2 linked regions of the Cricetulus griseus genome follow. The protein of the gene in region 2 purifies or fractionates together with the protein of the main gene of each other region. This does not show direct contact. Links are inferred from orthologs where the notes say so. Each region holds a gene or a part of one and is shown on either strand. Other genes may lie near its edges.

Evidence for each region. The genes of interacting proteins can lie anywhere in the genome.
Region 1: the proteins of Rpl14 (region 2) and Ctcf purify together in Homo sapiens (affinity purification with mass spectrometry; 5 studies listed by BioGRID and IntAct, with this or other methods). This does not show direct contact. The link is inferred for Cricetulus griseus from reciprocal best matches to the Homo sapiens genes RPL14 and CTCF.

The regions. Positions count from the first base shown.
Region 1 is NC_048596.1:181,959,408-181,965,595, reverse strand, and holds the end of Ctcf (transcriptional repressor CTCF), read right to left. Parts: intron 6,185-6,188; coding exon 6,049-6,184; intron 4,070-6,048; coding exon 3,887-4,069; intron 2,692-3,886; coding exon 2,507-2,691; 3' UTR 1,184-2,506; downstream 1-1,183.
Region 2 is NC_048597.1:227,644,185-227,650,372, forward strand, and holds Rpl14 (60S ribosomal protein L14), read left to right. Parts: upstream 1-1,809; 5' UTR 1,810-1,944; coding exon 1,945-1,947; intron 1,948-2,649; coding exon 2,650-2,751; intron 2,752-3,251; coding exon 3,252-3,346; intron 3,347-4,386; coding exon 4,387-4,486; intron 4,487-4,576; coding exon 4,577-4,630; intron 4,631-4,969; coding exon 4,970-5,257; 3' UTR 5,258-5,296; downstream 5,297-6,188.

The DNA of each region.
Region 1 (6,188 bases), on a different chromosome or scaffold from region 2:
ACTTAATGCTGAGGAACATTGGATGAGGGCTCATTCACCGCAAGTGGTTTTACTAGAAAAAGAACCTGACTAAGAACCTGTTCTGAGGGCTCACAGAACAGGACAGCTGTGGACAGGGCTGAAGCCAGGCCAGAAATGTAAAGAATGTATTACAGACTATAGATTACTGATTACTGCAGGCTCAGCAATTTGCTAAGCTTTCACAGTAGAATAGGGGTGATGGCCAGCTGGATGTAGAGGGGTTAATGGACTCATGTCAGGTGTAGCACAAGCTGTGCAAAACCGTTCTTTAGCTCCATCAGAACTTCACTTCCTGCTTGACCCTTTCACCAAGCTAGCCCAAGACAGATGCACTCTTGAATTTTCAGGAAATTTGAATATACATAAACAGGGGGGGGGGCATACTGGCTGACTGTTCTGTAAAAGGGATTTTCTAATTATAAATAACTCTAGTTCTAACAGTCCAAGGCTGTTAGTACTCATTTAGGTGAGATGCCTGCCTGGTTTGGAACCTTCCAGACTCAAGAAGCCCATTGTTGTTTTCCTCATTAAATTGCTCGAACAGGTAACACAAGCCAGCTACAAGCTGCGTGAATCTTGCCCTTTGCCTTTTTCTCACAGAAAAGCATCTGAAAACCAGTATTGGACTTTTGGTGAAATAACACACAGAGACAGGAGAAATCCAATAAGGAGTATTTTTAGTGAAACACCCCCCCCACACACACACAATGTGGTTTCCACTACAATGTATTATCTGACGACCCCCCCCCCCCCGTGGAGCTAAGGAATAAGAATTATCACCTGAGTTTGTCCTCAGCCTGTCTTACTTTTCCAATGCTCTTTGTCTCTCACAGGTTGAGCTCAGCTTTTCTGCTCCCTGTCTGGCTAAAAACTAGGACAGACCGTAAATCTTCCTAAAGCAGATCTCAAGGACACAGCATCCTCTGGCAATGCCTGTTGTGTAAGGGGCAGGCATCTCAGGTGTACCGTGGAAACAGGAGGCTATGTTAAGCATGCACTTCTCTATCCCTGCACACTTGTTGGCACTACGACTTGAAACAGGATACATTCCATGCTGTGGTCTGCCAGGACCATCGAGCTACAGGCTGTTGCTTAGAGGAAGCTGAGATAGGCCCCGAGGGACCCCAGCTAACAGGAATCACAAAAGATGGAGTCTGCAGAGTGCCTGTTAATCCGTTATGATTTATTAGCTGTACAGCAGTAGATCCTCCTCCCCAGCTTTCAACCCCATTACATATTTTATTACAGGTCTCATGTTGGCGTCCTAAAATAATGAAAAATATCACACAGTACAGCTAAGTACAAAAATGCATCAACCTAGAGTCTGATAGCTAACTGATGGCTCTCTTAAAAGCAATACACGGAAGAAAAAAAGTGTTTGAAATCAGTCAGACTGAGGCTCTTTTAAAAAAACACATATCAACATGTGACAATTCATGTGCAAGAATCACTTTTTAAGTTGGTTTGCTTCACATTATTATTAATCATTTTTCTTTCTTTTTTTTTTTTTTCCAGATCCAAAGTTTAAATTACTGACCTAGTGAAATTTTTTGGCCCAGCTTGCCAGGGCTGCTGTGACCCATTCATAATCAACTCTTCTGGCTTTAACAAAGATTTAAAAAATATAACATTCAGCTACAAACAGAGCAAAGGAAATGTTGATGGGAAATCATAAATGAGAGTTATTTGTTCAAGGTTCAAATGCTGGCTCCATGAGCTGGAAATCACAACTTTCGACATGGGTGTCCATCACTAGCAGGCAGCAGGCCCGATGCCCTTCTGCCACATGATTGTGATAGATACAACATTTACACACCACCCAGTCCCTGGTACCTTAATTTGCAAGTAATTAAAATGCTGGGTTTTCTTACACTGCGCTTCTTTTCAACCTCTTAATTAATGGAAAAGATTAAAATGTAAAAAAGGTTATTTACAAGCTTGACCATACCAGAAACTTTGCCAAGAAAGAGGCAAAGCATTCAGGACAGAAACTGATCGTAGCATGCCATCCTACTGGTGTGCAGCTGACTCCTAGCAAAGGGAGTCAGGGAAAAGCAAAAGCAAAAACCAGGTTAAAAGTCTTAAGTCTTTCCCAAGTCTGCATTTACAATTAAAAACTCTTCTTGGGAAGACCATAGAACTCTGGGAAACCCGTGGCCATTCTGGAGTGGTTTACTAAATCAAGAGAGAGGGCTCAATGTCTCTGTTTCCATCTAAGAAAACTAGTTAGGCATCAACACTGTCCTCAGCACTTCACAGTAAACCCTCAGAGACTTGGAACATTCCATGATTTGCTAACATCAAACAACAAGTTCTAGTAAATCACATTTTTCTAACATCATCCTTGAAGTTTTCGTTCTCAGTATGTTTGGTAAAATGGTGTAAAATTATGCCGTTCCCAAAGCCAAAAGAAAAGAGAAAAATTAAGATGTGGGCCGTTTAAACACAGCCCCAATAGTCCTGGTGACGAGCAAGGGCCCCGTCATCACCGGTCCATCATGCTGAGGATCATCTCAGGCGTGAGGTCTCCATTGGGGGCATCTGTGGTGGCTGCTTGAGCCTCCTCTTCGTCCCCTTCCACAGGCTCAGCATCTGGCTCTTTTTTGACTTCAACTATAATGTTCTCAATTGCACCTGTATTCTGGTCTTCAACCTGAATGATGGCTGTTGCTGGCAAAGAAGAGCAGGAACAAAACAAATAGTACATTAAAGTCCACAGAGAGTACAGGGATCCTTTCAGATACTGACAAGGTGGGGGAGGGGGGGATATATCAACATAGACAGCAAAAGTGAAAAAAGCACAAGCAAGCCTCAGCTAATGTTAAAGTGGTCACACATAAAAAAACCAATAGGCTAGAAACTGTCACACCAAATGCTGACATCCACCTTCATAGGCCTCCAAACTGCACTGTTAAGATGTTTAGTTTTCCTTTATGTTTGTTGTGAATTTAGGATTTACAGTAATATGAGGCAGGGGAAGAAAATCCAACCGCACACATGACTGGGAATACATCAGTGTATGATGCCGATGATATTTCTGACTCTATAGTGCTCCTGATCCAGTGTATATAGGTGAAAGGCAGAGCCTGGTTCTAGCTCTAAAGTTAACTTCCTTCTTTGTGATGGACATGTAAACACGGGCTCAGGAAGAATATTTAACATATTAGAGACGAAGTGAATAGAGAGTAAACTTCTGTTCTACCTGTGCCTGAAAGGGACACACCACGCCATCCCTGACACCTCAGTTCTGCTTTTCTCTTTCCCTTCCCCTCCTCATCATGTAGCCCAGGCCAGCCCCAGTCCTCCAGGTGTTGAGACTGTGGGTGACAATGACACTCACAGCTTTGTGGACCAGAATCCTCTCTAGATGGGCACTCTCAGTCCACTCATTTTATCCCATCCCTTGAAATCTGGCTCCCTTCTATCCATAACCACATCAACTTTACAGGCCACAGTGACTGGTTGTTTTCTAAACCCTCCTACATCAACAGTGTACCTGCCTCTAGGACATCAGCATCCTTCTACTTTGGAATTTTTTTTTTTTTTTTTTTTTTTCTGAGACAGGGTTTCTCTGTGTAGCCCTGGCTGTCCTGGAACTCAGAGATCCACCTGCCTCTGCCTCCCAAGTGCTAGGATTAAAGGTGTGCACCATCACCCAGCCTACTCTGGACTTTTTCTGTAGGAATATAACAGGCTTTTAGAGAAAACTTCTTTAAAAAAAATAAAAAAGCTTCCTGAGAGTCTGTTGCCAATGTGACCTTCACTTGTTTTCATGGCTTAGTTCCCATCTTCACAAGAACACAGACCAATCTGGCTTCCTCAAATGAGAGAGATGATGCCAACTGAGCCAAGGCAGGCAACTTACGCTGGTTCTGTTTGGGCTGGTTGGTTCTTCCAGGAGGTCGTCCTCTCCTCTTCTTGGCAGGTGGTGGGGCTGGGGCCACAGGCTGAGGCTGAGGCTGAGGCTGAGGCTCTGGCTCAGGTTCAATTTCTACAGCAGGCTCCTCCTCCTCCTCATTGTCATCCAGATCTGGCTCAGCGTTTTCTTCTCAAGAAATCAAGGCACAGGTGGTGGGTCAAGCAGAGTGGTGAAAGAGACAGCAGACAAATGTTCTGAAAACAGTCTATACTTCTAGCACTTGGGAGGTAGAGGCAGGCAGATTCTGAGTTCAAGGCCAGCCATGGCTACGTAAAGAAACCCTGTGTCCACTCCACCCCCCAAAACCAAAACCGAACAAAAAAGGGCTTTTACCAAAATTTTGCTATCAGCATTGATTAGGTAAACTGGTCCTGTGAAGAAGTATTCAAATTATATATTTCAACTATGCCTTACTTTGACATTTCACATGGGGTGCCCATTACTTTTCCCTTTTAGCTTTAGTGTAAGAATACTGAGGTTTTGTTTTGTTTTAAACATTTTATTTATTACATATACAGTCTTCTGCCTGCATGCCAGCAGAGGGCACTAGATCTCATTCAAGGTGGTTGTGAGCCACCATGTGGTTGCTGGGAATTGAACTCAGGACCTCTGGAAGAACAGTCAGTGCTCTTAACCGCTGAGCCATCTCTCCAGCCCAAGAATACTGAGTTTATGTCAGGTGTGGTGGCACTCAAGAGGCAAAGGAAGACAGATCTCTTGAGTTAGAGGCCAGCTTGGTCTACATAAGGAGTTCAGGGAGAGCCAGGGTTACAAGAGAAACCCTGTCGTGAAAAATTGTAAAACAAAAACACCCGCCCCCCAAAAAAACCCCAAGCTTAAAACCATAGAACCATTTTCATCTCTTATCAGTTATGTGACAAACTACAAAACGGTGCTTGAGGAAATAAAACACACATTCCTCTTATTATACAGGATAAAGCAGGAGACTGAGCTGAAGTTGAAGCAGGGGAGACGGAGATGCTCGTCTCTGACTGGACAGTATGTGTGAGTACATGCCCACCTATTTGAGAAGGAAATACAAAACTGTTGATGCAATACAAGGCTCTTTTTTTCTAGAATAATCCCAGCCTTTGAAAGCATTAAATTAAAGAGAGTGAATTACTAAAGAGAATACAGATAAGGAGTCAGATAAGGCTGTGAAGTCTCAGATCTCTTATTCGGTGTACTGACTTGACAGACAGCTCCCCTCCATTTCCTTGAGTAGTATCTATAGGACCTCAAACCATTGAACAGTGGTTTGAGGAATAAAGAATGAGACAGACACAAGTCCGTACTCAAGATTCTGAGGCAAGAGACCTGAGAGTTTGAGGCCACCCTGGGCTAGTTTATATAAATACAGCCTGTATTTATATTGTTCATCAGAACATAAAAAGTTCCTTTTATTAGGCTTCTTTATTAGGCCTTGATTATTTTAGTTAAGAGGTGTTATTTGTGTAGCCTTGGCTGTCCAGGAACTCTGTAGACCAGCCTGGACTTGAACTCACAGAGATTCCCCTGCCTCTGCCTCCCAAGTGCTGGGATTAAAGGTGTGTGCCACCAACGCCCAGCCTGGAAAATTCTTAAAAGTAACAGAAACTGCTGGTCAATCTCTGCAGATGGTTGAGAGAACTTTGCTAGCAGTAGGACATTTTCCAACATTTAGGAAGAAGGAAAAAGAAACACTACCTTAAGGCCCTGAAAGAAACGAGTAATGCAAGACAAAAGAAGAACTGCAGAACTCTACTGGGGCCATCAATAATTTCTTCAGAGACAGAACAGGAACAAAACAGTGGCAGGAAAAGGCATGGGATAGGGTCTATGACAGCAGAAAGCTCTGCAACAAGCTCATAGTTACTGTCAACACTTGTAACTTCTGGGGTTTATCTGATATCCTTAATGCCAGGGCTAGCCTGAATTTGCTGGCATTGAACCCCTGTTCTATCTTCCTGCTTCCAACTCCAGAGGAACATACCACCATGCCTGGCTTTACAAAGACTACAAGCATAAAAGAAGAGTGATCTTCTTGCCTCTATATCCTACACTTATTTTCTGGGAACTGGGTCTCCAAATGTGTCACCTCTAACCGAGTCAACAAATGATCCACTTACCACTGTCAGAGGAGTCTTCTTTTTTAGAACGCATCTTTCTTTTTCTTCCTCGTTTGCTCTTTTTAGTCTCTCCTCCATTTTCCCCTTCCACACCATCTGGACCAGCACAATTATCAGCATGTCTTGCCATTGTATTCTGA
Region 2 (6,188 bases):
ATGTAAATATCTATGTTTTTCTGTGGTCTGAAGTGACCCTTGTGAGTCTTTCGACCCCAAAGGGGTCTCGACCCAAAGGTTGAGGAGTGCTGCACTATGGCAAAGACCAGACTTGTTTGGAAAAGGTTCCCTTGTCAATGAAACAGAGTTTGAAAGAAATCTGAAGCAGCCTGATGCTTCTTGATAAAGATGTGCTCTGGTCTTTCCAGGAGGAAAAAAACAAAATATTAAAACATCGGAGGGTGTGCAGGTGAGATGGTGGAGGACCTTGGGACTCTAGGTTATGCTGTCTCTCCTGTAGGTTGAGGGTAAAAGACAACACTGCCGGATGGCAGCTGGTGACATAATCTGGCTGCATCGTCATGGCAAAGTCCTGTAAACCAGAGGACTTCCCCAAAGTGTACTCACTAGACCACTGGATGTTAAACCATCTCAGTCCTCCCTCCCTGACCTGGGTTCAATTCTCTGGTTATGTTAGAGCCAGGGAACTCTCATCAAGAAAAAGGGGTTTTCTTTGTCTTTAATTTTTTTTTAAGTTAATACACACTTAGGGGAAAAAAGGGCACAGCTGCGACAGGGAGATCTTTGTCTGCAAAAAGTAAACACTCTTGTATCATACTGGCGGGATGAAGGGACAGCATGACCAGAACTCAGAAAGCTTGCTGCCCCTCCAGCAACTGTGGTGTGCGCCAAGGAAAAGGAAGATGGGTTCTAGTTTTTGTTGTTTTGCTTTGCCTGTTCCCACGTGTGCACCCGCACGTTCAGCTGTGCCTGCACCGCTGTAAAGCCAGTAGCTAACTTCAGGCATCGTCATTGCTTTCCAACTTTGTTTTTGAGACAAGGTCTACTGTGGGACCTGGAGGTCACCAAAGTAGGCCAGGTTCTTTGTTCAGTGAGCCCCTGGGACCCGACTGCCTCAGACTCCTGAGGGCTGGGATTGCAAGGCAGGCCACTACACCCATTGTACATTCATGTGGGTGTTAAGAGAGTTGAACTTCTGACCCGTCGCTAAGTGCTTTATCCACTGAGACACCTCTCAGAGCTACAATCTATACTTCTCTGACATTAAGGGGTTTGCTGGTTGTGAATTTTATGTAAAATAAAAAAATACAATATATATATATATATATATATATATATATATACTTTTTTTTGTATCTGTTTACTACACTCAGGGTTGTGTGAATTTCACCCAAACTATTCCAAAGTCTCAGAGACTTTGTTGTTGCAAGCCACCAAAAGTTATCCATTCTCTTGCTTCTGGGTCTCCATAGTGCCCAGTCTTGTGCTGGCAGAAAATAAAAAGGGTTGGGCATGGTGGGCCACGCCTTTAATCCCAGCACTTGGGAGGAGGCCAGCCTGGTCTACCTAGTTCTAGGACAGCCAGGGTTACATAGAGAGACCCTGTTTCAAAAACAAGAAATCCTAACCAAAACAACAAAAGAATGAGGAAGGACCGACGCGGCCACTGCACACAGGCCCGCACACGAGCATGAACGAATGCATGAAAGAATGGATGCATGAAAGAATGGGAGATTTCTTCCCAAACGATCCAGCCCAGGATCTGTGGGGGAAGCGTGACGTGCTAAGACCGGGGAACGGGGTCTCGCTGCGTGTTCCCGGCTGGCAGGGGACTCGGGTTTCCCGTCCCCGTCCGGTCGTGCCAGCGTCCGGGAGGCCGGGCTTGGACGAACACCTTGTCGCTACCCAAACCCCAGCAACAGCAGCGGAGAAACGAGGACGCCAACTTCTTCCAGCACGTGTCCGAGAAGACGCCGCCCGGAGGAGGCCCCGCCGCCATGACTTCAGCCACCGAGCACGCGCCAACGCACGCACGGCCGCGTTCGACCAATCGGCGGGCACGCTGGACGTCGGGGCGGAGCTTCCGCCGGCACATGCGCACGGCCGGGCGGGCCTTCTTCCTTCTCGCTGAGCGCCGCCGACATGGTGAGTGTGTCTTGCCCAGGGCTCCGAGAGCGCGGCGGTCGGGGCGCTCGCCCTCCGCCCCGGGCGGGCCAGCCCCGGCGTGGGGTGACTCTGCGCGACCCGGGCCGCGCGGGGGCAGGCGGCGGAGCGTGGAAAATCCAGCCCCGGGGGAGCGCGGCTCCCGGTTGCGTGGAGGCCCGGCCGGGCGAGCCTGGGCCACGCGTGCGCACTGGCGGGGAGCGCGGTGGCGGCGCTGCTGCTGGCGAGCAGGCGGGTGGGCGAGCTCGCGGGCCCCTCCAGTCGTCCTTTCCTACGCCGGGAGGGGGTCCGAGCCGATCGGGAGGGTTTGGAGGATGGGTAAGAGCAAACCCCGGGACCCGGCCACCCCGGGACAGCGGCCGCGGGACATTTTAAGCCAAGCAGAGCGCCGGTTTCCAACGGCACATCCGGCCCGTGAGCGGCTCTGAGCCCTTGTGTTACAGCCGGTAAGCAGCGGACTTGGAACAGTTAAAGCCAACCCCCTGAAGTCGGGCAGTGGTGGCGCACACCTTTAATCCCAGCACTCGGAGGCAGAGGCAGGCGGATCTCTGTGAGTTCGAGGCTAGCCCGGTCTACAGAGCGAGTTCCAGGACAGCCTCCTAAACCACAGAGAAACCCTGTCTCGGAAAATCAAGGAAAAAAAAAAAAAGAAAAGACCAACCCCCGTTTCCTTATCTGTTTCAGGTGTTCAGGCGCTTCGTGGAGGTTGGCCGGGTGGCCTACGTCTCCTTTGGGCCTCATGCTGGCAAGCTGGTCGCGATTGTAGATGTAATCGATCAGAACAGAGTACGTATAAGAGGAAGCGGCCCACAGCCTCTCATTTAACGTGGCTGTGAGTTTTGACGACACCGTAGATGGCCCTCGGGTGGGGTTCTGTAGGTTACAGCTTTCCCTTGGAGGGAACGCTAGACACGGAGTCTGAAGTGCAGAGGAGAGTTCGCTCTTCATAGATTCCCTCAGGAAGTACACTAGGCAGATGTTTCAGTTGGGGTCAAAAATGCAGGGGAGTTCAAAAAAGGTAACGATAAAAGGAATTCAGAGCAGCTGGAGGTAGATTTTGCTCAAGACCCTGAAGTTGGGTGTGGTGACGCCTGTCATCAGCTCTCTGGGACGAGGAGGTAGGAGAACTAGGAGTTTGCCCCCGACTTGGGCCATGGAGCTCACAGGACGCTGTTGGCTTTATTTGAATAGTCATGGATACCCAGTCTTGGAAAGGTCAAGAGATTTTATTGTTTTCGGGCATCTTGACCAGGTTCCCATCTGAGATCCCCGTTTTTGTATTCTAGGCTTTAGTCGATGGACCTTGCACTCGGGTGAGGAGACAGGCCATGCCTTTTAAGTGCATGCAGCTTACTGACTTCATCCTCAAGTTCCCACACAGGTAACTCACTCCCTGTTAGCTGCCTTCCAATTTGGTGCCACTGTCTGCTTTTCCCCTTTAGAATATTCTGCCAATACAGAGGGTTCAGAGCCAACCCAGAATGTCAGCAAACGGACCTTAATTAGTTAGGGTCGCCCAGTCATTTTACCGTCATGAAAGTTGTCCATATTTGGTCTCTTTCCCTTACCACTGTTTTTTCGAGACAGGGTTTCTCTGTATAGCTTTGTAGACCTGGCTGGCCTCTGACTCCTGAGTGCTGGAACTAAAAGGCACGACCACCACCCCCTAGCTCCTCTGTTTTGTTTTCAATGAGAAACTCGGCTCGTTCCCAGAGTGGCTTTGGTGCGTTGCTACCGTTGTTGCTAGAGCAGAATTGTGCTTGTGGCTTCATTGTGTTGGCAAGCACCATGGAGCAGTGGCCAGGATGGCCTGTGGTGGTTTGTTTCTAAGTTGTGTGCTTTTGGTGTTGAGATAGGTTCCTTCTTGTCTTGGCCTACCTTGGTGATGGAGTTAGTGTGTTTTAAGGAGTTACCATGCCTTCCTTTAAAGCGACTATGGTTGTGGTTACAAAGTATTCAACATAAAAAAGCCTGTTTCCAGCTTATGGAAGTAAAGCCACAGAACAAATGCAAATTAGAACGCCTGCCCTGCCTTGCAGTGTGGTTGTCAAGTCAGCAATGTTGGGTGTGCTGAGGCAGCCAGCATGTTTTGAGAGACAGTGTGGTTCAGGGGTGGCAGTAGTTACGGAGTGATTACAGGTGAGTATTGAGGGTTCATAGCAAGCAGTAAGGAAGTTTTGGGTGGGTAAGAAACTTGGCCAAGTTAATGAACAAAGTATACACTGGTGTAAGGAGTGGCTTTTATTAATTACAAAAGGACATGGTTTTATGCACATGCACTATGTAAGTAGTATGTGTGTTCAGACAGGTGATTTTTCCAGTCTTTGGAATTCCCTGGGGGGGGGCATTGTCTAGCCTATGTTTTATGAAGACAACTGAAGCTGATTCATTAATCCACGGTCTTGCTCTTCATGTACATAGTGCCCGCCAGAAATATGTACGGAAAGCTTGGGAGAAAGCAGATATCAATACGAAATGGTCGGCCACAAGATGGGCCAAGAAGATTGATGCCCGAGAAAGGGTAATGGCGTGAAGCCTTGAGCTCTGGAGGGTGGGGAGGGGGTGTGTGCTGACAAACAACAGGAGAGATCATTTTGTTTTCTTTTAACAGAAAGCCAAGATGACAGATTTTGATCGTTTCAAAGTAATGAAAGCAAAGAAAATGGTGAGTTTTCAGATGTACATGTGTTGTGTGAGTGTGAGGAGACAGTGGCCAGTCCCTGTTTCATGGTGCTTGTTAGGTTGGGGCCCGAGAGACAGCGCAGTGAGTGAAGGTACTCATCAGGGTTAGGATGCTGGCCCAGTGACCTGACTTGAGTCTTGGAGCAGCATGGTGGTAGAAGGAGAGAACTCGTCCCACTAATTGTCCTTCCATCATGCCCACACAATATTGTAGAGTAGTATCCTTACCTGAATTTAGTTCTGTGGGTGAAGCTTGTTCAACAGTGGACATAGAGCAAGTTTGGTGTAAGCCTGCCCTGAATGCTCTCCTGTCTTTCTCCAGAGGAACAGAATCATCAAGACTGAGGTCAAGAAACTTCAGAGAGCTGCTATCCTGAAAGCTTCGCCCAAAAAAGCTCCTGTTGCTAAGGCTGCCATTGCAGCGGCAGCGGCTGCAGCTGCAGCTGCTAAAGCTAAGGTTCCAGCCAAGAAGGGGACAGCACCAGGCAAGAAGGCTGCAGGCCAGAAGGCTGCAGGCCAGAAGGCTGCAGCTCCTGCTAAAGGTCAGAAGAGTCAGAAGACCCCGACCCAGAAAACCCCTGCTGCAAAGGCAGCTGGAAAGAAAGCATGAGGCTGTACAAAGTAATAAAGGCTCTTTGACATGTCGGCATCTCGTGTGTGGACTCAAAACTTGTCGCCGAGTGGGTGTTAGAAAAAGATAGATGGGATTATAACAGGATCATTTATTTAAACTCACTCTACCTGGGCCTTAACAGCACACAGCCATAGCCAAACTGAACTTGCCTACTGCACAGGTACCATGGCAGTTAGAACAATGTGGCTGTCCCTTGTACAAATAAATGTGTTTCCTACAAGCAGGTGGAATTTTGTCCTTTCAATAGTTGGAGATTCTTTAAAGGTAGAGCGGGGCTAGGTGCCTTCCTGTCCTGTGTGTCAGGGTAGATTTCTTCTCTTCTACTGCAAGACTGGTAATTTTGGACTGTAAAATAAGCTTGCATATTTCTAGGAAAAGTTGCTGATTGGAGGGAAGCTTTGTAAAAGCATGGCATGGAATTCAGTAAGAGATAATTTGGGTGGATAATTTGTAGGATTATTTCCAGCAGACGGGGGTTTTTAGTCTCATCTCCAGGACTTAACATCTAGGCAGGTTGGGGTTCTGAAATACAAGTTGGAGATGACTTGGAGTGAAGGGGGCAGTTAATGCCATTGTAAGCAGCTTTTGATGGCTCTGGCTCTTTCCATGAGGTGGCAGATTGAGGGTTCAGGCTGTTGCTAGGAAATGGTACAATTTGGGGCAGTCTGATAAGCCTTTAAGAAAGGGGCAAGAATACCTGGATCTGTAGTTCAAGGCCAGCCTGGTTTACAGAGCCAAGTTCCAGGACAGGCTCTAAAGTTATACAGAGAAACCTGTCTTGAAAAAAAAAAAGGAATGAGCCTGGTGGTGGTGTATGCATTCAATTCCCAGGAGGCAGATCTCCTGAGTTTGGGGTCAGTGTAGGATACAGAGTGCCAGGACTACAAAGTGAAACCATTTTGATTTG